Cricetulus griseus: one gene and its partners. The protein of the gene in region 4 interacts with the protein of the main gene of each other region in a pairwise test. Links are inferred from orthologs where the notes say so. Each region holds a gene or a part of one and is shown on either strand. Other genes may lie near its edges. The genes, in order: Fam107a, Pbx3, Sh2d4a, Fsd2, leukocyte receptor cluster member 1 homolog, Cdc73 and Brd8.

Region 1 (4,181 bases), on a different chromosome or scaffold from region 4:
ATTTCTTGGCCCACCCAGGCACAGCCTGGAACCGTCCAATGCCCTAGACAGTGCCCATGTTTTTCAGATACTAATTTCATGGATCCCTAACTGGCTGCATTCTAAGTATGTAAGTATGGACAAGTCATTTCACCTGCCAAGTCTCAGAGACTTCATCTCTACACTGGAGGTAAGACTCAGCCTTTAGGACTGCCTTGAAGAGTGACTTCAATGACAGAGGCAGTGGAGCAGAATCAGTGTCTGGGGTCAGACCATCTGAATTTGTGCCCTAGCTCCATGATGAGTGACTTCAGAGCAGTAGGTTAGACTCTCTGGGCTTCCGTTTCCACTCCTTTGTAAAATCAGAATGCCAAGAGACCCAACTTTGTAAAGACTAAATGAACTGGAACGCAAAGAGTGCATAATTTATACTCTCTTGTTTTAGATGCACTGTAGCCCAATGCAGGCAGAGCAGGTAACCAAAGCTGTAGACATCTGCATATTCCAAAACTGCTTGATGCACCCTCAGTCTTCCCCTCTGGCTGTTTAAGGGACACCAGAAAGCCAGAGAAATCGTTCTTGTGGCGTCCTACCAACTTTCCCCTTCATCTTCTCTCTACTGCAACAAAGACACTGCTTCTCTGTACTTCTTGAATCTTTGCCGTGTGTTTGTTTACTTGCTTGTGTTTTGAGACAACTCTCACATAGCCCAGTCTGGTCTCAAACTAGCAATGTAGCTGAGGATGACCTTGAACTCCTGATCCTCCTACCTCCACTTCCTAAACTCTAGGATTACAGGTGTGCACCACCATCCCAGCTTTTGTGCTATGCTGCATAATGAAGCCCAGGCTTCGTTCAAGCCCTCTACCAACTAACTGAGCAACATCCTCAGACCACGAGTCAAAAGTACAGATGCATAGTGTTTGCTCCGAACTGCCGGGTTCTTAGCACTTCATGTATACCCCTGCCAAGCCTCACCTTAGTAACCCTGTGGGTGAAGGACTATCGTTCTCCACTCATCTCAGAAGAGGACCCTGGGCTTCTTTTCACCAGCCTGGCTGGGAATGGATCCCAGGAATGGCGCTCCCGAATCCCATACCTGCTTGTAGCCTTCACAGAGGCCAGAGGCCAAGAACTGGGCCAGGTAGGCAAGAGGCCAGGCTGGAAGGAAGCCGGGCCGTGCTCCATGTGATGCTGCAAGGGTGTCCAGACGCCCGCTGCGCCCTGACTGCTCCGGGCACAGAGACTGCCTGTGCTCCCAGCGGTCTTACACCACCGCTGTGTCTCAGAAGCCTAAGGTAACCGGATCCCTGGGCGGGTGGAGCAGCAGGGCTTCACTATCACTGAGACGCTGCTCAGGCCCCCAGTCCAGACTCTGCGATCGGGACACTCAGCTCAAGGCATGGCGCAGAAGCTGGGCGAGTGGGGCAAGGCACCCGCTGAAGCCACCGGGCTGTACCGGGCGATGCTGCTCAGGTCGGGTAAGTGGAAACCACGTCGCCGCCGGGACCACCCTCTGCAGACTGCAGGGTCCTGGTTCTTCCTTTCTTGGTGCCCAGGTTTTTTGGTTCCCATCATCTCAAAGCTTTGACGTTTCTCCATCACTCTTTGCTCTGTCCTTCCTTTATTTTTTTCTCATTTTTTCCTTCCATCCTTTGCCCTCATCCTGAGTGAGGAAACACATGAGCATGCACAAATGCAAACTTGTGCTTCCACTCCACATCCTGCCTGCAGGGGTTCCGCGAGGTCCCTGTCGGGGTTAGTACCTGGCAGTGTTCCCAAGAGCGTGCACTGGCAGTCAGGGAGGGAGGGAGGTCTGACAGCCAAGCAGGAAGGAATTCCACGGAGGAAGAAAGCCCTGAGTCTTGGCCACCACGGTTGCCCATGATGAGGGGACAGCATGGGTCAGGCAGCTCATAAGGCATTTGCTAAATGTGGGCGTGCAAAAAATTGGGAAGGAGGCATATGGCGGTCTTTTGGATGTTGTGGATGTGGTTGGATGGCAGGTGTTCATCTCTAAACTTTTTGTTTTCTTATGTGCGGAGAAGCACTGTATTTTCTACTCAGGAAACTTTAAAGGCCTTTTAGCCAAATAATAAAATAAATGAATATATGGTCAGCATAAAAATAGTTTGGGAAAACATCGAGATATAGAAAAAAGGGAGAAAATGCCCTTGATGAGGGCTTAGGATGTTTCCTTCTGGAGCTGAACTCAGGGAGGGGGTTTGGGGAACGGTAAAAGTGATTTGAAAGTGTCAACGGATTTGGCTCCCTGACCAGCAGCCTTCTCTGCAAGGAATGGGTCTCAGCCAAGAGTCGGCAGACTGGGTCCAAGGCGCCGTTGGGTCCGCCTACAGCTTAGGGATCAGAGTTGCTGCCCTGCACCACCCCGACCCCACCCCCAACTCCCGCCCCTGCCGACTGAGATATTGCCGCCTAGTTACTGGTTGTGAACATTTGAACAAGGGTTCTCTTAAGTCCCCAAACAATAACTTACCAAGGATTCAAAACCAACAATGGCTTCCTGGGGGCTTCCTTGCCTGCATAAAGCCAGCAACCCCCAATAGAAGAATCAGATTTCAAAGTTCCGTGTTGAGGTGCCCGTTCTCCTAAAGCGGGCAGCAAGGTTCCCTAACCCGAAAGACCCTGAGTTTTCTCTAGCTGTGAATGTTTTTCTCAACTTTTGGTGCATCTACACAGCAGACAAGTCAGAGCTCCCGAGTCACAGGCTTGTCTCCCTGAGGCCTCCCTGAGGGCTGAGTGCTTACTGATAGAGTAAGCACTAGAAACATCAAATGTTTAGTTCCACCTTCCCAGTTCTGCCAGGTCGCACTAATCATCCTCTCCCTTTAGTGAATAAGGTGACAGTTCCACAGAGCTGCAACAGCAGCCCATAGTCTGCTAAGGAGGTTTCCACCCTCCCCAGAGACAGAAAACACTTTCAAACTCAGAGCTACCTCTCCAAAGTATGATTAGATCCGTGGTTCTCAACTTGTTTGGGGTTCCACAGGGGTCACATACCAGATATCCTGCATATCAGATATTTACATTACGATTTATAACTAGCAAAATTATGGTTGTGAAGTAGCAATGAAATAATTTTATGGTTGGGGGGTCACCACAACTGAGAGATTGTATTAAAGGAAGGCTGAGAATCACTGATTTAGACAAAGAGTGACAATTGTTCCCATCTCTGCAATATAGTGATGCTTGCATCCATAGATCAAAGGGGCAGGACTTACCCCATAATCCTACTAGCTACAAACACCTGATAGTTACACTTAAGGATGTTGCCTTCTAGTTTATCCCAGGAATAGTTTACCTGTACATTTGTTTCATACTGAATTTCCAGTTTTTTCACTTCAGTGGGAACTTTAATGCTGTTACATGATGTAATAGCATCACTTAGGCAGGTGGCCCAGCTCTGGGGCTGAGGTTGCCATGCCTATGTCCTCCATTCTTCAGAACAACTGCCCAGTTATAGAGATGAGGAAGGCATGTTGAAGGTCTCCTAGCTGTACAGCAGTCCATCCAATGTTGGTGCCTGGGTTGGCACAGATACTCATAGCCCCCTGACTGGAAGAACTCACTCTGTGATATAACTCATGCTCAGTCATACCTGGAAAGCTATTGTCCTTCCATAAAAGTCTACCAGGCAAGTATTACTTTCACCCTGGGGAGAAAGGCTTCTGTCTGCATCCTGGTACCTCCCCAGGTCTGTACTCCTTGTTAGCCACCAGGGGGCAGTAAAACCTCCATTCCACTACTATTGCCAAGGAACATTACAAACAAACAAACAAACAAACAAACAACAAAAAGACCTGAACCCTGGTGCAATTTGAACCTCACATAAACAACAAAGAAGAGTTTATTGCAAGTAGCTCCAAAGATAAAATGGATGTGCTTGTACAAACAAAACAAAAAAATCCATTGTTTATCTGAATTAAATTCTAGGAGTGCTGCTTTCCCCCACCCTTCCCCCAGGCCTGCAACCATGGGCTTTCTGAAGTTAGATGGCTTTCTATGATCTTCCCATCACACATACATACACCTGGGAGGCACGGGAAAGGGAGGGAACAACAGAATATATCCTGGTTTGTCTCACTGATAGGAAAATGAAATAGGGGTAAGATCACTCTTAGAGACCAAATTCACCATGCCAATGGCAATGGGTTAAGAGCCAGTTTTTGGAAAAAGAACTC
Region 2 (4,069 bases), on a different chromosome or scaffold from region 4:
AGAGGGCTCTTGCTAGAAAAGAGTATCAATTCCCTCTCTTTAGCAATATAATGCCATAAAGTTGAATCAATTTTAATATTCATAACACAATCAATACCCCAGTGCATAGCTGTCAGCACAAACTGGAGTATAGCCCTGCTAGCAAGAAAACCCTCAGAAATGAAGCAGCATAATATACTAAGAATTATATACTTTTATTCTCCCAAATTAAAAGTCTCCAAGATTCTATGCTGGATGCCTTTATAGTTAGATTAAAATCTACCATCTTAAATCACAAGGCAATCTAAAGGTAGCTAAAAAAAAAAATCAACATACAATAAGTCAATAATTTAAAATGACTGTGGTTTTCAGAGTGAAAAGTATATCACCAAAAAATTTATCATTAAAAAAAAATCCATGGCATGAATGAAAAGCAAATAAAGTTTTCAAGATTTACTAATAATTATCTTCTCTGCATTACTTTTAGGAATATGAATAGTACCTATTTAAACAGAGTATAACTCAACTACCAGCCTAACAATTCTAGACAGTTTGCAATTATTTGTAAACTCAATTTAAAAAGTCAAACATTTAACTATTAAAACAACATCAGTTGGAAAATGCGATATACTGGACTTGACATTTTCTTCTTTCCCTTAACTTACAAAAGAACAACTTTAAAAAGTGATACACCCAACACATACAACAATAAATAAATTAATGGTAAAGCTTAATTAAGGGAGTTTCTTGCCATATAGGAAAGATAACTAAACACAAACTAACACATGTGAATTATATCCCTACTTCTACTTTAGCTTTACCATTAAGTCAAAAGTAAAAATACCTTTAATAGAAAAAATCTGACAAGAAAATTAAACCAAAATGAACTGCCAAAAATTTCCCTAATCATGTATCTGCAATTTTCATGCTAGCATGTCTGCAAAACCTATCATCTCATCTACTCCTGCCTTGAACATCAAAATTGTTTCATCTGTATCTGTGGACATTTTTCTTTATATATTGAAACTCAGTTACAACTGTTAACAGTTGCAAGATAGACAATTTTATATAAGTACTCATTAGTATGATACATTGTATACGCCTAAGCACATCATTTTCCTTCCTGAATTCTTAAAAGTAATCTTCCCCACCTAAAACTGACATAATACTGAGGTCTGTTCTGCTGTATCTTCTACCACTAGAACCAAAGCTTAAGGCTGTCTAAGTAAAACAAAGTTCTGGTGATGCCTCTCACGGGCACCTGGTCCCTGGAAGTCTCCCATTGCTCCCTTTAAAAACTGCTACACAAACAAGGCAAAAAGAAATAGAGGGCGGCTGACTAGAGCCCCCTCCCTGACTTCAGTCAGGGGCTGCCGCCTAAAGAACTGCGAACCAGCCCCTTTCACACATATACTTCATTTTGCATCAAAGCAGAATTGAGAAATAGACTCCAGATTTATTGCAGTTTTTTTCTCAAGATCAGGAGGTGGGAAGCAGAGAATGATCAAAGATGGCGGTGCCCAAAAGCAGCAGCTCTCAACTGGTGAGTCCAACGAGTAGATCTAACCCCACCTGGGGGGAAGGGGGATCTCCAGGCCCACTGCTGGCAGCAGTCTTACCTGTTTTCTCTTTGATCTCACACAAGACGCTGAAGAGCGCCGGTTTCATTCTGTGACAGTTCAGAGCATGTTTCCTAAAAAACAAATAGCAAAACACAAAGGTGTTAGCATCACCTATTGGAATAATATGGCGACTTCCTAAGTTAGACCAAAGATTTAAAACTGGGCCCCGGGGTGGAAAAGCTCTTTGGAACCGCGGGAAGTCAACAAAAACTCAAGTTGACTAGTTCGCGACTGGAGGCAAGCTCTAGCGGTGAGAACTCCAGCCCAAAAGCAGCGCGACCCATATGCTGGGCCGACACATCAGCCTCGGCGAACGCAGGGACGACCCGTGCTGGGGGCTCCGCTCCAGGGATCGCGGCGGGGACCCCGGGGACCGGGGCGGCACGGAGGGGAACCCCACGCCAGAGCTCCGCAGGGGAGCGGGCGCGGAGGCCGGCCGCCGCCAGATAATCTGCGGATGACAGCTCCGCAAAGTTTGCAAAGCTGCCCTCCCTCCTAGAGAGAACTTGGCGCTCCGCACCCGGACCTGCGGGGAAGCCGCGGGTCACCCCGGGCCCGGCCGAGGGGAGTGGACGCCGTGAGTCTGGGCCGGCAGAGAAAGTTGCACTTCTCTGCGGCATGGCCCGGGGCTGGCTGGGACGCAGAGCGCAACGAGTCCGGGCGGGAGGTTTAAATCCGAGGAGGGGGCCGGGCAGCAGGGCACGGACGAAGCACCGACTGAGGCTGTCCCGAGCCCGGAGAGCAACTTTGCCCGCTCGATGGGGGCACCGCGAGTGCCCGGCAGGCCCGCCCTGGCAGGCGGAGAAAGTTCCCGCCCGCCACTGAGGCCCCGGTCCAGGGAGCCACCCGGGACCCGAGCCCGGCTCCCGTACACACACAAAAGATGCTTAATGAGACGACACCAACTTTGCTTGCGCCTCGTCCAAGCTCTGGTCGGTGATGGTCATGATCTGGTGGAGGATGTCGCCGATGTCCTGCTTCCTGCCGTCGCCGTCCGCCCCTTCGTGGCCGTGAGGGGGAGGCGGCAGAGCCATGCCCCCCTGGACCGAGTGGCCGGCGAGGTTCACCCCGGCCAGAGTCTGCAGCATCCTGGATTGATCATCCATCCCGCCGCGCGCGGGCGGGAGCGGGCGGCGGAGGCGAAGGCTGAGGCGGCGGCGGCGGCGGCGGCGGTGGCGAGGGAGGAGAAGAAAGAGGGGGAGGGGGAGGGGAGGCGGCCGCGCGCTCCCGCCCGCGGGGGAGGGCGGCCGGCCCGGCGAGGCCGCGACCGAGGGGGACGCGGACCGGCGTCCGGCTCCGGCTTCCGCCGCGGCGGAGACTGAGGACAGCGGCGGGCGGAAAGCGGCGCGCTCGCGCGGCAACTGGCCGAGGCGGAGGCGGGCGGCGGTGCCCGCTGCCCTCACGCGGCCGCCGCGCCGCCTCCTCAGCGCCCGCGCCGCGCCGGGCGGGCCCCGCGAACTTGGTCCTCAGCGCTAGCCGAGTTGTCGGGACGCCGCGGCCGCCGCCGCCGCGGCCCGCGCCAGCCTGACGGTCCCCTCCCCTCAGCGGCCCGCCGCCGCCTCAAGCTGGCGGGATCGAGCACCGGCCGGCCCCGGGGAGGGAGCGGCGGCGGCGCGGCGGCGACGAAGGAGGGAGGAGGCCGACGGGCGGGCCGCGGGGCGACGAGGGGCGGAGGAGGAAGTTTGGGGGCGGCCGTCGACGCGGCGGGGGGCGCGGAGCCCGATGGAGGGCCCGGCGGGCGCACGCCGGGGACAGCAGATGGATGAGGCGGGAGAAGTCGCCGCCGACCTCCGGGAGCGCGCACCCAGCCAGCAGCCGCCGCGGACCGGGGCTCGAAGGCCGCTCGGCTGAGGGATTGACAGGCTGCCAGTGCCACTCACTCACTGCGGCGCCAGGGCCGGGGGGAGGGGCGGGGGCCAGCGAGAGGGCGGGGGAGCGCTCCGGATGCCCCGCCTCCGGGGCGGGGTCTGCGCTCATTGGTCCTTGCACCTCCCGCCGCCGCCACAGGCCCCGCCCCCGAGGCTGGGACCGTCCCCTCTGGCCTCGGTAGTGGGGCGCGAGAGAGCGCGCCCGGGAATCCCATGCCTCGTCGCGCCCGCGCTCCGCAGATGGACAGCCCCGACCGGCAAAGTGGGGCCTCCCGGCTTCTACTCCTTTCCTATCATTAACAGCTAGGGATCCGGAGGTGGTATATGGGGGCCGGGATAGTCTCCCCAAAGCCAACCGCGTGGTCACCCATTGCGTGAGGTGAGCTTCACGCCTCGGACAGTGCCTGGTACACTTTCCCGCTCTTCCTGTCAAGAGGTGGTACCCTCTGGGCACAAGGCCGCGAGCCCGGGACCAATCGTTTTGCTTTCAACGCCGAACGAGGCGGGACAGAGTCAAGAAAGGGTTGTCCCAATTGGAGCGTTCGAAAGTCCTGAGCTGAGACCGGGAAAGAGGATCCCAAAGCCCCGCCCCTCCCGCGG
Region 3 (3,500 bases), on a different chromosome or scaffold from region 4:
TTTATCTTATATACAACATGATGGTCATATCCTTCAAGGTCCTATTCTTCATATTAGGATGTTACTGAAATGAGTACACTTCTCCCTTTTCCTTTCAGAATGAGGATGGGGAGAGGATGTATCCCCTTGACTTGAACTCCAGCTTTTATGCAGAATCAAGGTTTCAATTAACCTCAAAGGCATTCTTCACTGTTGGCTCTGTCACAGAGTGATTTTGGCATCACAGGCAACTGTCCACCTCCGAGGTGTCTGTCCAGAGGAAAACCTGGCTGAAGGCTGATCTTGACTAGAGCTGTTACTCAAAGAGCTCCAGGTAGTCTGGTAGCTTGTCTTGTTGACCACAGGGGTACAGCAGGAGTTCCTTCCCCAGGGAGGTTATGGGCTCTTCCTGTCAATCAAAGCACAGGGTCATGTAGCAGCTGTGTGGTAGATGCCCTTCTACCTCCTCAGGATATCACCCCTTTACTCTAGGCTTGTGCAAACATATGTTGGCTTTTGACAACCTTAATAGCAATTTCCTTCTGGCAGCTTCCCTTTCCTGCTAGAGTCCAAGTTCTAGCATGGGACCATTCACACATGTGACCAGTATGTGCATCTCCAGTATTCTCAGATCCAGTGGGATATCTCTGAGTGTGTCAGGAGGATGTGATAAAGGACAGGGGGAATTATATGCTGCCCCTCCCATTGCTTGCTTTTGAGCAATATCCCTAGCCATGCCCCTCTTTGTTATATATCTATAGGACAATAATTCCCAAGACAAATTAAGCATATGAGTGGCTTCACCTTGTGATATTCCACCAAATCTGCCAGGGTGGCATGCTGCAGCTGGTCCACACCCAGGAAGCTGTAAGAGTCGGCAGATGCGTCTATGAGGAAATGTTTGCAGCCCTCCTCAGACAGGTAGGACAGGGCATAGCCCTTGATCTTTTCACTGACTCGGATCAGAAAACTTCCTGGCACACCTGTGCTCAGAAGGTCATTTGCTTTCTTTAGTGTGAGAATCCCTGTGGGAAGGGGGAAAGAAAAGTCATTTTAGCAAAGTACCTGTAAGCCATTCCTGTGTTGCCCCTCACTGTATGAATAGAGTTTGGTGACAGGCAGAGCTGTTCCATGTGTATTTTGCGGTCCTTGGGAATCAGTAAAACAAACAAACAAACAAACAATCCCCTTGGTATTTGATAACTAGACAAACGCAAAACAGAGAGTTTGTCAGCTTGACACAAGATAGGGTCACATTGGAAGAAGGACCTCTCAGTTGAAGAATATCTGCCATCAAGCTGGTCTGTGGGGACATTTTCTTGAGTAATGATTGATGCAGGAGGGTCCAGGCCTCTTTGGGTGGTGCCACCCCTGGCAGGTAGTCCTGAGTTGTATACAGAACCAAACTGAGCAAGCCAGTAAGCAGCATTGCTCCTTGGCTCCTGCTTCAGTTTCTGCTTCCAGATTCCTGCCATAAGTTCCTGCTTGCCTTCCCTTGATGTGTTGAAATTTGGGAGTTCCAAGCTGGAATAAGCCCTTTCTTCCCCAAGTTGCTTTTGGTCAGTGTTTTAATCATAGCAACAGAGAAGCAAACTAGGACACATAGTAAAAGAACTGTATTTACAAATAGTTTCACTTAGAGACCCATTTGCATTGACACAAGCTGTCTACCACTTATGACAATCTGGTATATTATCTTGAGGGTAATTGGTCAGATCCGAATGAACTTCAGATGCTCTTATAGGGCCACCACTGTCGGTCAGTGAGGACTCAGGTCTGGGAAGTGACATGACTTGCTCTAAAACAGTAGCTCACAAAGGAGACAAATCACATGTGTTGTGAAATTAATGTGGTTTGCACAGAGAATGAACTGAAGGGGAGAGACCCACCTTGAATGTGGGTAACATCATCCCATTGGCTAGTAGATGAGATGGAAAAGAGGAGAAAGAAGGCTAGTTGAGGGCTAGAATTCTCTTTTCTCCACTTCCTGATCCAATATGATGTGAAGTGTTTCCTGGTCTGCAATGATGTGAAGAACCTTCCCCTTGTTCCCACTGCCAGTGTTTCTTTGCCATGGAATCAAATAAATCTTCTCTGTCTTATGTTCTTACTGTCCGATGTGTTCACAGTGATGTAAGAAGTAACTGGTGCAGTTGTTGTGGGTGTGGGTGGTACTTGTATTCATGGGGTAGAGGCAAGGGGTGCTACTGAACATACACAAAACAGTCAAGTACTGTAAAAATTATCCAGCACAAAGCATCAACGGTGCTAAAGTTGAAACAGCCTGGTCTAGGAAGCCCTGCAAGTTAGTGACAGAACCAGAAGATAGATCTACTGAGTGCTGGATACCAGTACAAGGTCTCCTGAATTCTAATAAAACTAGTCTTCAATGTATGTATCCACTGGTCTTTGAGAGGCTAGAGCTTAACTTACTTATGTCCCAAGCCAAGGTCAACCCACCAACACTTCTCCTGCCTGCTCTTTGCCCATCACTGTTGGGGAAGAATAAAACCCGGTCCTATACCACAAAGCCCAGCATGAGTGCATATATATATATATATATATATATATATATAATATATATATATATATATATATATATGGCTTTATGAGAGGTATAATTAAGATGTCTCTTGAATTCCCAGTCTCATTTCTTGGTTCATAGAGTTTGACTCAACGTTCGAAAGTTCCCTTCTTAGTTCTATTGTAATTCTTGAAATGAATAGACAGCATAGTAAACATACAGAAAATAATCAACAGCACAGCTTGCTGAGTCACCCCGTGGGCTCTGATTTGGGAGGGAGGAGCAATGTTCTTTTCAAGTTCACTCTGCTTTGCAGCAGAGAGGAGCTCCTGGTTCCTCCTCCTCCACTCTCACTCTGCGCTGATGTTCATGTTCTGGTTATTAAGGAAACAAACAGAACACTTCCTGGTGAAAATCAAATGGTTTTCATAGCCCTTCTAATTGCTAGTGAAGTTTTAGCTCATTAAGTCACCCAGAGCACAAAGTTAAGAAAAAAATCTCTAAATAGATCTTTAATAGGGGGAGGAATTTGAATTCCCCCCAAGCCAAGGTCAACCCACCAACACTTCTCCTACCTGTTCTTTGCCCATCACTGTTGGGGAAGATGAAGACCCCGGTCCTATACCACAAAGCCCCGCATGAGAGCATGTATCAAGCACTGGAGTTAGGAAAGTGCTGATAGATCCCTCTACCAAGATGGGAAACGGCACCCAAAAGGAAAGCAACCCAAGGCATCTCTCCCAGAGACCCCAGCTCTATTGCTGTGCCTCTTAGAAAGGTTGCTGATTCATGTCTACCATAAACATTCACCATAGCTGAGATATGAAATAGCCTCTTCCTCCCCACCCACATACCCCAGTTCATGTCTCAAATGCTTTGTTCCTGGATGCTGGAGTCACTTGGGGAGATTATAAAACTTTGGGAGGTAGAGCCCAGCTGGAGGAAGCAACTGGAGGAGTGTCCTTGAGGGCTATGTCTCATGCTGCCTGTTTGCTTA
Region 4 (4,207 bases):
AGTCAGTGGAAAGGTTACTGGAAACCTCCTACCACTGTTACAATAAACCAATCAGACCAAATAAATAAATCCAGGTTTAATCTGAGCAAAGCATTCCTGGGTGGCCCCAGGAGAAGAGAAAACCAGGAACTAGGAGCTGCATCCAGAGATTGGGATTTTAACATCCTCCAGGGTGGGGCCACCAATGGTAGGTTTTTTAGGGGTAGAGTCTGGACTTAGGTGACTCCAGGGGATGGCCTGCCCTTGGCAACCTGAGGGCAGGGTTTGAAACAGGCTACCAAACATTCCAACCTCTTTGAATAGATATAGAGGCAGGTAGGACTTCCACCTAAACACAACCAAACAAACAAAAAGCCCATCAGGGGCAGGGGTTTAGGGAAGTGGTTCAGTTGGGGCAAAGAGCTTGCCAAGCAAGTATGAAGGCCTGGATTTGGATCTCCAGCACCTATATAAAAAGCCAGGTGCAGTAGTGATCCTATGTAATCCCATCACTGAGGTGACTGGAAACGGGGATCTCCAGGTCTTGCTGGCCAGCCAGGTGAGCCAAATTAGAGAACTCCAATTTCAGTGATAGGCCCAGTCTCAAAAAATAAGGTACAGTGTGGCTGAGGAAGACACCCAAACTTGACCTCTGAGCCTCACATGCATGAGCATACATGTGTATGTACACTTGTATACACAGGTACACACAAACACACATATATGTTCCCCACCACACACCAGCTTCAAGGACAGAAGAAAACTGTTCATTTCACCATCTGGATAGGGCTACCATAGTTTTCATTGTTGGAATTAAAAAAAAATTCTAAACCCCATGCAATTGGCACTTTGATTGGAAATTTTCTGCTTTATTTATCCATATAATAAACATGTATAAACACACTTGCTTTGAAACATCCAGTGTAACAGACCTGGAGATACACACACACCAGCCTCTCCCACCTAGATGACATAGTAAATGTAGTAGGGGATGCAGACAAGTGACCATCACCTCTGTAGCTACCCGGTGTGTGTGTGTATGTGTGTGTGTATGTGTGTGTGTGTGTGTGTGTGTGTGTGTGTGTGTGTGTGTGTGTGTAAAATCTATGGAGAGCTGAAGGGAGGGGACAGGTGACACCTCACATTCTAAGAAATAGGTCTGAGGCACATGCCTTTAATCCCAGGACTCGGAAGGTAGAGGCAGGGGGATCTCTGTAAGTTTGAGGCCAGCCTGGTCTACAAGAGCTAGTTCCAGGACAGCTGGAGCTGAAACACAGAGAAACCCTGTCTGGAAAAACAAAACAAAAAGAAGAAAGAAAAAGAAAAGAAATAGCGGCCGGGTGTTGGTGGCACACGCCTTTAGTCCCAGCACTTGGGAGACAGAGGCAGGTGAATCTCTGTGAGTTCGAGGCTAGCCTGGTCTACAGAGTGAGTTCCAGGACAGCCTCCAAAGCCACAGAGAAACCCCGTCTCAAAAAAAGAAAAGAAATACCATTTGCTTATTGTGGCCACGGATGGAAGCTACACGTGTGATGAAATCACCAAGTAGGTTCTTTTTTAAAAAATATTTATTTATTTATTTATTTATTTATTATGTGTACAGTGTTCTGCCTGCATGTTGCCTGCAGGTCAGAGGAGGGCACCAGATCTCATTACAGATGGTTGTGAGCCACCATGTGGTTTCTGGGAATTGAACTCAGGACCTTTGGAAGAACAAGCAGTGCTCTTAACTTCTGAGCCATCTCTCCAGCCCCAATACCAAGTATGTTCTTACCTCCACTGTAATGAACACCTCCTCCAGGTGGCTAGCAAAATTTTCCATCTCAATGATCTGCTGTTCCAATTTGAACATGTTTTTGTGGATTTCATCCTGTGGAACAGAACAAACAAGGTGTTAATGCTATGTTTGTTTTAATTTTGTTAAATTAAAAAAATATATGTATGGACATTTGCCTGCATGTATGCCTGTATACCATATGTGTGTCTGGTGACCACAGAGGCCAGAAGATAGCATCAGATCCCCTGGGACTACAGTTACAGGTGATTGTGAGCTACCATACTCTTAACGGCTGAGCTATCTCTCCAGTCCCCCATCCCATCCTAGTTGAGGCATTCAGGATGTATTCCCTGCCCACCTCCCTGAGACTCACAAATACTCTCCAGACAAAGATGGAAGGAGACCTGTTACCTTGGCACTTTCCAGTGCTTTGTTGAGTGGTGTTACTTCATGTTCTTTGTGTATTTCAAAATCCTTCTCAACAGTTCTTACTGGAGTTTTGCAAGTGACACAGAAGACATCAGCAGGCTCTTCTTCATCTTCCTCCTCTGGGATGACGTAGCATTCATACTCCTCACTGGCACGGCCATGTGTATACCTGTAGGCTTCCCGAAGGTCTTGGCACTGGCCAGGAAGGCCTTGCCCTCCATAGCCCAGGTCCTCCTCAGCCTCAGCCGCCTCACTGCTAAGCCCCCAGCCTCTCTGATCTCTGGCTGAGTCTTTCCTCCTCATCCCATAAGAAGGATACCCCAGAGTCCCCAGTCTGTGTTCATCAACAAACTCATCCCCTAACTCATGGTCATCTTCAAGTCCATATAAATGGACAAGCTCGTCCACTTCCTTCTGAAGATTCTTACTGTCCACTGTCCCTCTCGGCTCATTGGTCTGTTCAGCCTGGGTTACTTCTCTCCTGATTCTGCTGCTTTCTCCTGGGAAGAGCTGCAGCCTGTCTTCAGAGTCATACAGGTCCATGTGATAAAAGTGGAAGTCTTTGGGGGCTGTTGACCTGCCCAGCCCCGGCTCTTCCCCTGCTTCCTGCTCCATTGATACAGAACAGTCCTTCTCAGACAGTCAGTGGATCCTAGGACAAAGAAGAGATCAACATCAGTTCCCAAGAAGGCTATGGGTTAAGATCTCATCAAAGAAGTTATGGTCGAAGCCTGCATCATGGCAAACAAATTCACCAAACTGTCTGGGCTGGAGGTGACTCACAATTGTTCAACAATCAAGAAAAACACACGGAGACACAGGCTGGCTAGCAAGCAGAGGGAATTGGGACCCTGTTGAAGAAAGGTGCATTGGGGAGTACCACCCTGAAGTGGAGTCACCTGGAAGACCTTGTCTCAATCCTCAGCCCTCACAAAATATGTAAGATGATAAATATCGGTTATTTTAGGTAATCAAGCTGTGGAATAATAGTGTGCATGATACCAGCCTAAAACTAACCTTTCCCTCCTGCTACCATCTCTGCCTCTCTTTTGTTCATATTCAGGCTCTTTCAAAAGATGGGATTGATGATATTGGTCTTTTCCCCATGGCATGTGTATGAGGCTTTCCATGGGGAATGCAGGCACAGATACTATTAAGAGTTATCAGCTTTTAGATTCTTGGGTTTGTATTTAATATTTCTCTGGGTTGCTTTGCCTGGGAATGAGCCAGCATGTGAGGTTCTTTTCTCAACAGTCCTTCTCTTCTTTATTATAAAAGCAAAAATATACTTCCTGTTCATTCTGACTATTACATTGCACAGTGAGATTTCATTGCTTGGGATTCTAATAAAACCTCCAGGAGACTAGACAAAAGGACAATCTGAAGTATAGGTATCGATGCTGACAGTGAGTGACATTAATGAATGGGTAAGAAAAAATTTTTTCAAGGTAAGTGCTTTCCAGCTCTTTGCTTCCCACAAAATTGCAGGAGGATTTAATCAAGTTGTCAGCTGACACACTATTTAAAATAAATGTTCATGATAGGTCATTATGCAATTTTGGCATGTATTTCAGGAAGAACTGTCAGAACGGACTGGCATTGTTATAAATTGCTTCCCTTCCCACCTACTTATGTAGGTGAGCATGGTCACTCTGTGTTTGCATGGACAAAATTTAAAAAAAAAATACAAAATCTCATTCATGTTGCATTTCTAGAATGTGATATTTTCATACTTGGGTATGAATTTTTAAAAAACAAACAAAAAGTCCCATTCACTTTATTAAAAGATGCATTTGGGGGCTGGAGAGGTAGCCCAGTCAGTCAAGTGTCTGCCACACAAGCACAGGGACTGGAGTTCAGATCATTAAAATATGCCTCTTTAATCCAGCACTGGGAGATGGGTGAGGGACAGAGACAGGCAGGTACCTGGAGCTCTTTGATCAGCTAGCCTAACCCGACTGATGAGCTCCAGGTTCAGTGACAGTCTCTGCCTCAAAGAATAAGGGGAAAAGCCATCAATGA
Region 5 (4,003 bases), on a different chromosome or scaffold from region 4:
CTTGGGGGGAGCTGGTACCAAGGAGGTTGCGTTTGAGCCTCTGCTGCGCTCTGGCCCAAATACGTCAGGATGCCTAGTGCTTTCTCTTGCCTCTCCTGTGGGGGCAAGAAAACAAAATAGTCTTCCCAAGTCCCTCTGGGAGCCCTAGATATGGCATGTGGCAGTAGGGAAACCCAGGGCCTGAGTTCCCAGTGAGGCAGGGGCTGGTGGGTATTCAACAAGGGAAATCACAGACCAGGGGCCAGCTACGCAAAAGTGCTGATGGCTAATCTGCAGGGGGCGTCTAAGGAAAAACTGCAGCAAAGCAGAGGAGTGGTTTCAGTGGGATGCAGGAGAGCCACAGTACAGTTCACAATGTGAGAAGCACAAGCGCCATCTGGCGACAGATGCTGACGACTAGCATTCAGGAGGCCAGCGCCGGAGGGGGTTGTGAGCTGGAGGACAGCCTGTCTGTGTAGTTGAGGTGTCATCTCAAAATAAACTAGCTAAGGTTAACATAAGAAACAGCTGTTAGTCACAGCTGGTAGCGCCCCACCCCACCCCACCGAAATCAGCCAACAGAGGCCAGCAGCTTACCTTCTCCTGTCGCTTCTCTTCTTCATGCTCTTTATTGCCTCTGGGCACTCCTTTCCCTTCTTCCAGCAGCTCCCTAAACAGGTCCACAGGGCCAGAACTTGGAGCGCCTGCCTCTGCTGCTTCCAGCTCAGGGCGTGAGTTCTGGTGCCTGGCTTTCTTCCGTAGGAATTCTGTTCGGGCCTGTGAAGAAAGTTATAGGCAGGACATTCAGAACGTAGAAGTGCTGGGGGCTCCAAGGAAGGGCCATGAGCCGGCTGGTGGTGACACACGCCTCTAATCCCAGCACTCAGGAGGAAGAAAGAGGCAGGTGGATTTCTGTGGGTTCGAGGCCAGCCTGTCTACAGAGTCCAGGGCAGGCAAGGCTACATAGAGAGAAGCTATCTGGAAAAAGGTTTAAAAAAAAAAAAAAATTGTGTGGGGGGGGCGGGGGTAGAGGTACTGGGAGCCAGAAAAGACACCATTTCTAATTTGAAGTGGAGAATGGGGTTTTTGTTTGGTTTGGCTTTTGAGATAAGGTTTCTCTGTAAAACAGTCCTGGCTGTCCTGGAACTCAGTCTGTAGACCAGGCTGGCCTCCAACTCACAGAGAATCTGCCTGCCTCTACCTCCCAAGTGCTGGGATTCAAGGCATGCGACACCACCACCCGACGAGAATGGTTGTTTTTAAACAGTTAACTGGATTACCAGGGATATTTGGGGAGATCCCAGCCTAAAACAGAAGGGTTTCCACAGCCTGGAGTCATGCAAGAAAAACAGCTATCAAAAACCACTCAGCTAGGGGCTGGAGAGATGGCTCAGCGGTGAAGAGCACTGACTGTTCTTCCAGAGGACCTGAGTTCAATTCCTGACAACCACCTTGAATGAGATCTGGTGCCCTCTGCTGGCATGTGGGCAGAAGACTGTATACATAATAAATAAAATCTAAAAAAACAAAAACTACTCAGCTATAAGGTATAGAGGTGGCTTGTTCACCCATAGAGCCCCTGCTTAGTGTATGCCCAGCACACACATGTACAAACTCCCAAATACAGCTTATTAGGAAGCCAAACACAGTTTCTGGACAAAAGATCTGAACCCCAGGTGTGGCTCCAGGTCAGCATCCCAAACACATTAGTGATGGCCCGTGTCACTCCCATCCCAGGTAGGTTCTGCATTGCCACCAACGCCCGGCTACTTCCGAAATTTTAAATACCCACACTACTTCATGATCAGATTGGCCAAGGGACTTAATTGTAAACTAACATGATTGAGTAATTACTAACGCCTGTGCATGCATGCGTGGTCTTCAATCCCACATTCAGGAGGCAGAGGCAAGAGATCTCAGAGCTCGAGACCAACCTGGTCTACATAGCCAGTTCCAGGGCAGCCCGGGCTACATAGACCCTGTTTCAAAGAAAGCCTCTTTGGTGGCGCACGCCTTTAATCCCAGCACTCGGGAGGCAGAGGCAGGGGCAGGGGGATCTCTGTGAGTTCGAGCCCTGTCTCCAGAGTGAGTGCCAGGACAGCCTCCAAAGCAATACAGAGAAACCCCTGTGTCGAAAAATAAAAACAAACAAACAAAAAACCGAAAGAAAGAAGAAAAAAAAGAGAGAGAGAGAGCAAGCCAGCCTCTGGGTGTGTTTGGGGGAGCAATGGTGGAGAAAGAAGAGGTCTAACGGAGTGCACTCCGGCTTGCCCGCCCTTTGCCCTCCTCGTTGAAGCCTTTGCAACTCCAAGTCGCTCTAAGAGGGTCGTGTCAAGTCTAGCGCTCTGCAGGAGGGGGGGCACGCATACAGTGGGTGCTCAGTAATTAACTTGTGCGGACGATCTCCAAAGTGATCGGGGCAGCCGTCCCACTCCGACGTGCTAGCCTGCGGTCACTTCAGCCACACCAGGGGGGGGGGGGGAAGGGGATCCAGGACGGTTTCGCGCAAGTCAGCAAAGGATTTGCGGAGAAGCGTCAGCAAGCACAGACCCGCGGCTGCCACCGAGTCACCCACCGACCCAGCGAGGCCCGCCTCGCTTCCGGGCCAGCCCAGGCTCACCTCCTGCTGGGCGAGCAGCACCCTCCGCTCACGCTCCTTCTCCTCCTCCCGCGCCCGGGCCTCATCGCGCCGCACGCGGGCGACGTTGTCCTTGTTTCGGACGTGCCAGCTCTTCTTGGGCAAGATATTCATGGTCCCCCCGCCGACCTCCGAGCCAGCGGGCCCCCGACTCCCACACTTCCGATTGGCGCGAGGGTGCCCCCGCCCCGTGGCCCCACCCTCGCCTGTGCATTGGTTCCCGGCCAGACGCCACGCCCACTTATGACCCTATCCAGGGGTGATTGGCTAAGAGGCCCTCCATCACAGCCAATCCCAAACGTTTGCCACCCCCGGGTCGCTCCACCCCGGACGCCGCCGTGTAGGGCTGATGCTGCCCCGCCTTGTCTAGCCCTCTGCTCGCAGACACAACCCGGGACCCGGATCAGGCCCCTCCCTAAACCCTGTCCCCAGCTTCAGGACCCGGCTTCAAAATGCAAAGCTGTTGTTTATTAATAACGGTGCAACTGAGAGTGTGGCACTGGGGTGGGTGGGGTGGGGTGGGGTGCGGAGGACTCGATCCAGAGACCACAGGGTACCAGATAGGGAGGTGTAACCACGGGTCTCGGGTGGTCAGATGGCTCCGTTCGCTGAGCTCAGAGCCACAGCTCGCTGGGCTAGGAAGACTTTATTCTTCGCTTCCTGAGGGCAAGAAAAAAGAAAGGGGGTGGAAGTGAGGCAGGCCTACTCTACACCCTACACCCGAGTCCTTCCCAGGTTCCCAGGGGGCCCTGGCCGGGGAAGCACCATGGCTCACCGTCTCTATCTGGCGTTTGAGCTCGGAAATGAGGCGTCCGTAAGAGTTAGCCAGGGCTATTGTAAACACCATCAGGATGCTAAGGAAGACAGGGATGAAAGTTACTTCAGAAAAATAAAATAAATACACACACACACACACACACACACCCCTTCATCATATGGCTCCTTAGAAACCAGGATCACGCCCGGTGCTGGTGGCACACACCTTTAATCCCAGCCCTAAGGGAGGCAGAGGCAGGCGGATCTCTGTGAGTTCGAGACCACCCTGGTCTACAAGAGGGAGTGCCAGGACAATCTCCAAAGCCACAGAGAAACCCTGTCTCGAACCCCCCCCCAAAAAAGAAACCAGGATCAGGACCCCCAAGGGCCACTGGCTTCTGCTTCAGACCAGGAGGAGTCCATACCTCTGCCCTCCTCCCTCTGACCAGGGGTCTAGACTGCAGACCTCCTTTAGACCCAGTGTTCAAACCCAGACTTCTTTTCCTTAGACCCGGGAATCCAGACCCCAAACCAGATCTAGGGAGACCCCAGTTGTCTTCCATGCCATAGGTACCCAGGCAGCAGCCCTCCTCTCTAGCAGCCCCCAACCCCCCAACACTAAACCACACA
Region 6 (4,061 bases), on a different chromosome or scaffold from region 4:
AATATCGAGGGCGCTAACTACTGTGGTGATACTTTGTTTATAATCTAACAAAGCTTGTCTGAAGATAAGAATGTAAAGCTAGTCACAGCCAAAGAGGCTCAGCAGTGGTGGTACACACTTTTAATCCCAGGATTCAGGAGACACAGGCAGATGAATGTCTGTGAGTTCAAGGCCTGCTTGGAGAAACCCGGTCTCGAAACCAAACCAAACCAAACCAAACCAATCCCGTAGTCTGAAAGTGTATTAACTCATAGTTTGAGGTTTCTGAATGATCACCGCCTCACTTCACAACCTGAACCCATTTGAGGCTTTTGGTCATTACCCGGGAGAAGTTGCGGGGATGGAAAAAGTTATTTCCAAAGAAAGGAAGGGGAAGAGTTAACAAGTAATTGTACTTCATCGACGCGTTAGGATGCTTTCAGCTTACTCTAGTATTCATTTTATCCCGTCCATCAACCAAGCTAGGAGACCAGCGGCTCCCAAATGGTGCCCGAACTGTTTTCCAAGTGGTCTCATCCTCTTTGCAAATCCACCCCTAATCAAAACTCAACTTAAACTACAAAACGTCTACATTCCAACACCCCCAGTTTTCGGTAGCAGTTTATCCTGACCACAGGGACCTAAATGGTCCGCAAATTGAGGAAAGCGAAGCCTGGGGGGGGGGGGGGAGGGGGAGAGGAGTCAAAGAACTCAGCGCGCGCTCTAGGATTCCATGGACAGAAGCGCCCGGCAGGTGCGCGCGCACCTGTCCTCGCTCGCTCGCTCGCCCGGTCGCCCAGCGCAAGCTATGCGCTCGCCCAGTGCGCGCCGTGGAGCCCGAGCCGGGCCCAGTTCCGCTAATGCGCCGCACCTGAGAGCGGCGCGGCCGCTCGCCCCGTTTCCCCGGAGTCGGCGGGCGGCGTGCCCCGCGGGAGTCTGGGAGGCTCGTCCGCTCGCACCGCCTCCTGGCGGCGGCCCGCGGGGCTGGCGGAGCGTGGGTCAGTCAGGCGTTCTCCGCGGGCAGCCCGCGGCGGGGCCTTGCCTTATATAGCGCGGGGTCCTCGGCGGCCTGGGTGGCTGCTGCCCGTGCTGCTGTCGTAGACGCGGACGGCTGTTAGTGAGGCGGCTGTTGGTTCGCGGCGGCGGCGGCGGCGGCGGCGGCGGCAGCGGCGGCGGCGGCGGCGGCGGCGGCGGCGGCGCGGCCGGAGAGGGCGAGGCGACGGGGAAGGAGGAGGCAGGCGCGGCGGCGACGGCGGTGGCCGGGGCCCGCGGCGGCGGCGGCGGCGGCGGCGGCGGCGCGGCAGCGGCAGCGAGGGGGGCGAAGATGGCGGACGTGCTCAGCGTCCTGCGACAGTACAACATCCAGAAGAAGGAGATCGTGGTCAAGGGGGATGAAGTGATCTTCGGGGAGTTCTCCTGGCCCAAGAACGTGAAGACCAACTATGTAGTTTGGGGGTGAGTGCGGCGTGGCCCGTGGCCTAGTGGTGGCGGGGCAGCGCCCGGCGCCCCCGGCGCCCCCGGGCGACCTCGTCCCTAACCCTCTCCTCTCCCCCCCGAGTCCCTCGGGGATGGGAGGAAAACGGGGGGCTCGGGTGGTGGTGGTGGTGGTGGTGGTGATGGTGGGGGAAAGTTCTTCTCTGGAGCCGAAGTTGCACTTTGCGGGGGAGCGCGTTCGCGAGCGGTCAAGTCTTTGCTGTGTTGGAGAAGCCACAGGGAGAGGTGCCATGGGAGTTTCCGACTTTCCCAGTTGGTGTCCACCAGGATGTCCTGGCTGGTGGTCGGCGCCGGGGAGGGCTGCGCTCTGCACGGCTACCTGCACCTAGGTGCAGAAGCACAAAGCACAGCATCTGGCGGCCACCCTTAGTGTTTTTGTTAGTTTGGTTTTTCTCCCAGAGGCTGCCATGTGTTGCAACTGTCTCTCTCTTCTGGCTCTTGGAGCGCCAGGGTAATTTAGTTTCTTTCTGCCTCAATCCCCCCCCCCCCTTTTCATAATTGGGGAAGGATGATGCTACGCTTCAAGAAAAAAATAAAGAGGGGAATAGACTACTACTACTTGAAGCTCAGGAAAGAAAGAGATTGGGGAAGAGTTTGGAAAAGTCTGCCAAAATCACTGTTCGAGATGAAAGCAGGACTTGGTTGGGGGAGAAAAGTTACTGGTGAAATGCCGTGAGTTTTTTACATACGGGTCTGAGAAACTGATCCTGTGTGCTTTTCCGAAAGCACCCTAAAGAAAAAAAAAATGTTTGGGAACATTTCTATGTATGCATGGCACGAATTTAAGTCATTCAGGAAATCACCAAGGATGAAGTTTAATAATCCTTTGGGGCCTCTTTAATGATGCTACTGTTACTGTCATTGATGCTTCGTTTTGATAATTGGAGTCTCGGAGTCAATTTTGGTACGAATTTTTTGCTTGATTGAGTGACTTTATGAATGGTCATTGAAAAACTAGAAAATTTTAAGATTTTTTTTTATTTTTTGTTTCTTGTTTTTTTGAGAGAGGATTTCTCTGTGGCTTTAGAGGCTGTCCTGGAACTAACTTGTAGACCAAGTTTGTCTCGAACTCAAAAAGATCAGCCTGCTTCTGCCTCCGGAGTGCTGGGATTAAAGGTGTGTGCCACCACCGCCCGGTTTAAGATTTCTTTTGACTATTGATTCCCATTTTGAAGTGTTGACTAAGTGACATTCCCGGTTTACCGTGTTTCACTCTTTCAAATAAATTACGCAGAAATTGGATTATAATGGATATTTTTCTTTATAAAAACTCAAGGTATAGCTGAGTGTGGTGGTGAAAGCCTTTAATCCCAGCACTCGGGAGGCAGAGGCAGAGGCAGGTGGCTCTCTTGAGTTCAAGGCCAGACTGGTCTACAAAGCGAGTTCCAGGACAGCCAGGGCTGTTTTACAGAGAAACCAAACCAAACACCACCACCCCCAAAAAAACCCCACAAACAACAAACAAACAAAAACACCTCAAACAAAAACACCTTTATAAAGAAGTTTAATTTGAGAAATAGAAAAAAAGCTGAAAACTCTGATTCCTTCCTGCCTTTCATGAGGTTAGCCTATTTTGGGTAGAAAAGACCAAACAGATTAAGTTGATGTGAAATGTTTCTAGCTGATCTAACGAGAACAGTTATTTGTGGTTTACTTCTAAACTGGGCAGTGCACATCTTTAATCCCAGCACTCTGGAGGCTATGGCAGGCGGATCTGTGAGTTCCAGGCCAGCCTCATACAAAGCTCGAGTTCCAGTACAGTCAAGGCTATACAGAAAGCTTGTCTCGATCCCCTCCACCCCCCTGCACCAAAAAAGTTGTTTATGTCTAGGGGAGGGGGATATTTAGAAACAGTTCATGGAAATATATTTGACATGTGTCCATTCTACAAAGCCCCTTCCTTGAATAAATGAACAAATAGATGAATAAACTTTAAAGAATGGGTAAGAATTCTGAGTGAAATGGGGGAATAGCCTTCCAGTATGAGGGGACTGTGTATTTAAGATATGAAACCTGGAAAGGAGGTGTTTCCAGGAGGAAGAAGGGAGAATTGGAAAGCTGTGTATGTGTTAGTATTAGAGAGCTTGTACCCCCAAGACTACATTGTTTAATCACAGATAGAATTGTATTTTGGTTTTGTGTCACTCACTGGTCTAGTTTGAGAGATGTTACAAGGATCATGCCCTTGAAGTTGATCCTGTTTACTTTTCAGTATATTGTTGAGGATGTCGTATGGCAGTATCTTGTTTGGAAAGAACCATAAGATGTTCATTTTGTAAGTGCAGCCCTGGTGATACCTCCCCTAAGCAGTTTGTTTTCCCTGAATGATCCTTTTTATTGTGCAACTGGCTGGGTTTCTTTCTCTGTTGACAGAGCCCAGAACTCAATTTATGTGTAAAGTGAGGGTGAGGATGTAGACCAGTTGGTAGAGTGCTTGCCTAGCAAGAATGAGTTCCTGCATTTGATCTCCAGCACCACATACAACATGCACCCTCAGCTGTATAGCAGATTTGAGGCCAGCTGGGATACATGAGACCTTGCCTGCCTTAAAAATAGAAAAGAAAAAAAGTATATATAGAATATGAATT
Region 7 (3,500 bases), on a different chromosome or scaffold from region 4:
TATGTGGAGGTCACAGCACAACTTGCAGGAGTCAGTTCTTTCCTCCCACCGTATGAGTTTCAGTGACCAAAGTCAGGTAGTCAGGCATGGTAGCAGGCACCTGAACCCACTGAGACATCACACAAGCCCCACCAATTGAGACAAGGTCTCCCTCTGAAGCCTAGGCTGGCCTCAAACAGTCAGTTATCCCCTTGCCTCAGTTTCCCAAGTGCTGGGATTACTGGTATGTGCCACCATGTTGTTTTCCAGTGATTTCCTTCCCCCAGCACTGGAGATTGCCAAGAACACTAGCTGAGAGCTGCACCACTATACTATCAAAACACATTCCCAGCCCTAAACTTCCCAACTCTCAGAGATAAACCTTTACATAAATAAATAAATTTAACAATAAGTTTTTTTGTGTGTGCATGGTTTTGTTTTGTTTTTTTTTTTTTTTTTTAAATCACTTAGCCCAATGTGGTACATGCACCTGTAATCCAAGCTACGGGGGAAGTTGAAATTGGAGGATTTTGAGCTCTAGCCTTGTCAAAATACAGAGACTCCACCTCAAAAAACAAAAGAATATTGTACAAGAGTTCTACCTATAGAAATACTGATAGCATTTGCTGTCAGTCCTGGCACAAAACATTCCTGACAATATTCTGCCACCTTTGTCCATACTCTAATCCCTGTGGAATTATATATGAACTAGATCCTGAAAACCTTAACGTTTCCCAAACATTCAAGAAAACCCCAATAGCCCTTATTGCACACTTAATTCACACAATTATGAATTCAGTCTTGGTTACTCACCTCTTCTCAGTTGCAGCAGACAGCTTATAAGACCACTTCTCAGCTCTAACAATCTTATCCCCATATATGATTAGGTATGGTGAAGAAAACACATTTCAAACACAAAGGACACACACCAAAGGCCAAAGTTTTCCTTCTATTTGTTATATACACACACGTCACAGGTTTATTTTTTTAAAAAGTCTGTACACTTCACAAGATAATACAAATAAGCTACAATCTTCTAGCTACACATTAGGGCACTAACACAGCCCATGATTTTTGCCCTAAAACGGGCAACTGTGCTACTCCAACTCTCTGAAAAGAGATTTTTCTCAACTCATGTCATTTGACCCAGGAACCTTCTCTTCTGGGCCCATACTGCTTCTCAGCCTTTTGACTAAGATCAAGTGTAGACCTGAGCCCACAAGCCCAAGCTATATCTTGTTTATTTCTATTTCAGGTTCAGCTCAAAGAGGGAACTCTGAGGCTTCACTTCTTCATTTTCATATCTGCTTCAATGGCACAGCGGCGTCCCCTGGTTCCCCCATCCTAAACAACATCAAAGAAAGGAAAGAAACATGAGTGAGTTGGTTACCTGTTAAGAGACAACATACAATAGGAATGCTGGGAATTTGATTTCTTGGGGGAAAGAATCTACAGAGAATACCAAAGGTATGAAGTGGAAGGGACTTTGTTTTCCCACAGAGTAGCTAAAAGAACACCTGACATTTTGTGAGTGTAACTATTAAGACTAGCATTTTTTTCATGCCAATACAAAGGGTCTTTGAAATTCATCTGAGGTCCCACAGAATGACTACCAGTCATCCCACCCAGGTCCACACTGTGTGTAAAGAACAGGAAGAGAAAGTGAAAGGTGGGAGAGGCAGAAAGGGTAGTGAAGCTCTTGGCTAACATACCTGTCCAGTTGCTGGTCCCTATAAGAAAGGCCTTTCCTGCAGACTGACCCTGGCACTAGTTCCCTAGCACCTCCTGACAGTTGTTTTCCATGACATCAGGACAATCAGGCTTCTTTCCATCTGCTGCTCTCTCCCTGTAGCCCAGCTCCTTCCTCTTGTGCAAAACTTTGCTGTCTTCCATAGATAAAAGATCTTATTAACCGGCCTTGCAATAGCCAGCCACTTGAATGAGGATCCAGAGTCACTGTTGCAGGCCAATAAGAAAGAATAGAGATCACAGTGTTCTCTTTGTGGTACAGGTCTACAGGCAAGATGAACTAGTGAACAGTTCTGCTGGGCCGGACCATTTCTGTATTTCTAATATGCAAGGATTAAAAAATTTTTAGAACATAAGTTGCCAACAGCCAACAGTAAGAATAGAAATAACACCTTGCATTTGTGTAACGTTTTAATAGTTTTTTTCAAGTTAATTTTATAACTTATTTTATCCTCACAACATCCCTGTGAGGTAGGCTGGACAGGTACCTCAATCTTACTCTTTCTTTTGTCTTCTTTTTTTTTTTTTTTAAAGACTTATTTTCATTTAATGTGTATGAATGTTTTGCCTGTATGTGTATACTTGCACCACAAGTGTGCAGTGCCTGCAGAGGCTGGAAAAGGGCTTTGGGTTCCTTGAAACTGGAATTACAGACAGTTGTGAGCCACCATGTGGTTGCTGGAAACCCAACCCAGATCCTCTCCAAGAGCATCAAGTGTTCTTAACTTCTGTGCCTCTCTCTAGTACTCCCTCCTGCTTTTTTTTTTTTTTTTTTTTTTGAGACAGGGTCTTACTCCACAGCCTAGGCATGCAGTGATCCTGCGGGCAATCCTCCTGGCCCTCAACTCATTATTACTTCTATCACATAGAGGAGAAAATTAAGGTTAGCTAATGATCTTAAGACCATGTAGTTTTCAGCATGTTTTGTCCCTTACTTCACTGCTCTACCATGAACAGAATCAGTCATTTAATTTATGGAGCAAAAGAATAAAAGCCTTTTGGCTAGATCTATTATGTTTATCTATAATCTCACCAGCTATTATTGCATCCAGTAGTCACTGCTACTGAGATCTTTAAAAAGTCTTTAAAAACATTACCACTCCTGCGTGTGAGGTCTGTGTAGGAGCACACGTGCCATGCTGCACATGTGGAGTTCAGAGGGCAACTCTGTGGAGTCAGCTCTCTCCTTCCACTCTCATTGGGGTCTGTGGGTCAAACTCAGGTCACTCCCATGGCAAGTACCTTTACCAGCTTAATTTTTAGTGAGGGTTTATCTGTGGAGTCTCTCAATTTAGTTAGGAGGAAGTGGAAAGGTGTGTGTTAAATATCTACCAATACTGCTAAAAAGCCAAGCAGCAGGTGCTGCTCTGAGCTATCTTCCACTCATAAGAACTGGTAAAAGGTGGAAGCAAGAAATGAGGAGCAGGTGCATCCTAGGTCTTTACCCCAAGAACACTTCATATTTCAGTGCAGTGATCTTACAGCAGTTCCCCCAGCCCCCTCCCTCTGACACACACACATACACACACATGCAAAGAGACCAGAATGCAGAAGAAAAGAATTTCTTATTCAATGGATAAAAAGAATTTCAAGACACTGCCACAGTCTGCATGTTGGATTTCCCTCTGCCACCCAGGCCCAGCAGGAGTTGAGAATTTTTCTGGCAACATCACCCCTTGCAGCCATTCAATACTTACAAAGAGAGAGAGAAGGAAGGCAGGAGAGCCCATGGGGACACTGTCCTGTTAGAGGACAAACAAATACTGATCAGG

Evidence for each region.
Region 1: the proteins of Fsd2 (region 4) and Fam107a interact in binary tests that used the Homo sapiens proteins (3 or more experiments, as listed by UniProt). The two-hybrid records come from large-scale screens. The link is inferred for Cricetulus griseus from reciprocal best matches to the Homo sapiens genes FSD2 and FAM107A.
Region 2: the proteins of Fsd2 (region 4) and Pbx3 interact in a two-hybrid assay, tested with the Homo sapiens proteins (3 studies listed by BioGRID and IntAct). The two-hybrid records come from large-scale screens. The link is inferred for Cricetulus griseus from reciprocal best matches to the Homo sapiens genes FSD2 and PBX3.
Region 3: the proteins of Fsd2 (region 4) and Sh2d4a interact in binary tests that used the Homo sapiens proteins (3 or more experiments, as listed by UniProt). The two-hybrid records come from large-scale screens. The link is inferred for Cricetulus griseus from reciprocal best matches to the Homo sapiens genes FSD2 and SH2D4A.
Region 5: the proteins of Fsd2 (region 4) and leukocyte receptor cluster member 1 homolog interact in binary tests that used the Homo sapiens proteins (3 or more experiments, as listed by UniProt). The two-hybrid records come from large-scale screens. The link is inferred for Cricetulus griseus from reciprocal best matches to the Homo sapiens genes FSD2 and LENG1.
Region 6: the proteins of Fsd2 (region 4) and Cdc73 interact in binary tests that used the Homo sapiens proteins (3 or more experiments, as listed by UniProt). The two-hybrid records come from large-scale screens. The link is inferred for Cricetulus griseus from reciprocal best matches to the Homo sapiens genes FSD2 and CDC73.
Region 7: the proteins of Fsd2 (region 4) and Brd8 interact in binary tests that used the Homo sapiens proteins (3 or more experiments, as listed by UniProt). The two-hybrid records come from large-scale screens. The link is inferred for Cricetulus griseus from reciprocal best matches to the Homo sapiens genes FSD2 and BRD8.

The regions. Positions count from the first base shown.
Region 1 is NW_023276807.1:166,707,002-166,711,182, reverse strand, and holds the start of Fam107a (actin-associated protein FAM107A), read left to right. Parts: upstream 1-1,381; coding exon 1,382-1,460; intron 1,461-4,181. UniProt on the Homo sapiens protein: Stress-inducible actin-binding protein that plays a role in synaptic and cognitive functions by modulating actin filamentous (F-actin) dynamics. Mediates polymerization of globular actin to F-actin. Also binds to, stabilizes and bundles F-actin.
Region 2 is NC_048599.1:146,089,749-146,093,817, forward strand, and holds the start of Pbx3 (pre-B-cell leukemia transcription factor 3), read right to left. Parts: upstream 2,801-4,069; 5' UTR 2,708-2,800; coding exon 2,508-2,707; intron 2,269-2,507; exon of another isoform or gene 2,128-2,268; intron 1,673-2,127; coding exon 1,599-1,672; intron 1-1,598. Other genes in the region: basic proline-rich protein-like, read right to left, coding at 3,025-3,448, 3,482-3,684. UniProt on the Homo sapiens protein: Transcriptional activator that binds the sequence 5'-ATCAATCAA-3'.
Region 3 is NW_023276806.1:245,098,716-245,102,215, reverse strand, and holds part of Sh2d4a (SH2 domain-containing protein 4A), read right to left. Parts: intron 1,005-3,500; coding exon 784-1,004; intron 389-783; coding exon 296-388; 3' UTR 1-295. UniProt on the Homo sapiens protein: Inhibits estrogen-induced cell proliferation by competing with PLCG for binding to ESR1, blocking the effect of estrogen on PLCG and repressing estrogen-induced proliferation. May play a role in T-cell development and function.
Region 4 is NC_048596.1:115,970,681-115,974,887, reverse strand, and holds the start of Fsd2 (fibronectin type III and SPRY domain-containing protein 2), read right to left. Parts: upstream 2,801-4,207; coding exon 2,168-2,800; intron 1,850-2,167; coding exon 1,754-1,849; intron 1-1,753.
Region 5 is NC_048602.1:21,581,544-21,585,546, forward strand, and holds the start of leukocyte receptor cluster member 1 homolog, read right to left. Parts: upstream 2,801-4,003; 5' UTR 2,732-2,800; coding exon 2,600-2,731; intron 757-2,599; coding exon 577-756; intron 96-576; coding exon 1-95. Other genes in the region: Tmc4 (transmembrane channel-like protein 4), read right to left, coding at 3,209-3,277, 3,393-3,471.
Region 6 is NC_048598.1:46,725,254-46,729,314, forward strand, and holds the start of Cdc73 (parafibromin), read left to right. Parts: upstream 1-1,261; 5' UTR 1,262-1,303; coding exon 1,304-1,434; intron 1,435-4,061.
Region 7 is NC_048595.1:202,876,478-202,879,977, reverse strand, and holds the end of Brd8 (bromodomain-containing protein 8), read right to left. Parts: intron 3,471-3,500; coding exon 3,426-3,470; intron 2,049-3,425; exon of another isoform or gene 1,692-2,048; intron 1,324-1,691; coding exon 1,264-1,323; 3' UTR 422-1,263; downstream 1-421. UniProt on the Homo sapiens protein: May act as a coactivator during transcriptional activation by hormone-activated nuclear receptors (NR). Isoform 2 stimulates transcriptional activation by AR/DHTR, ESR1/NR3A1, RXRA/NR2B1 and THRB/ERBA2.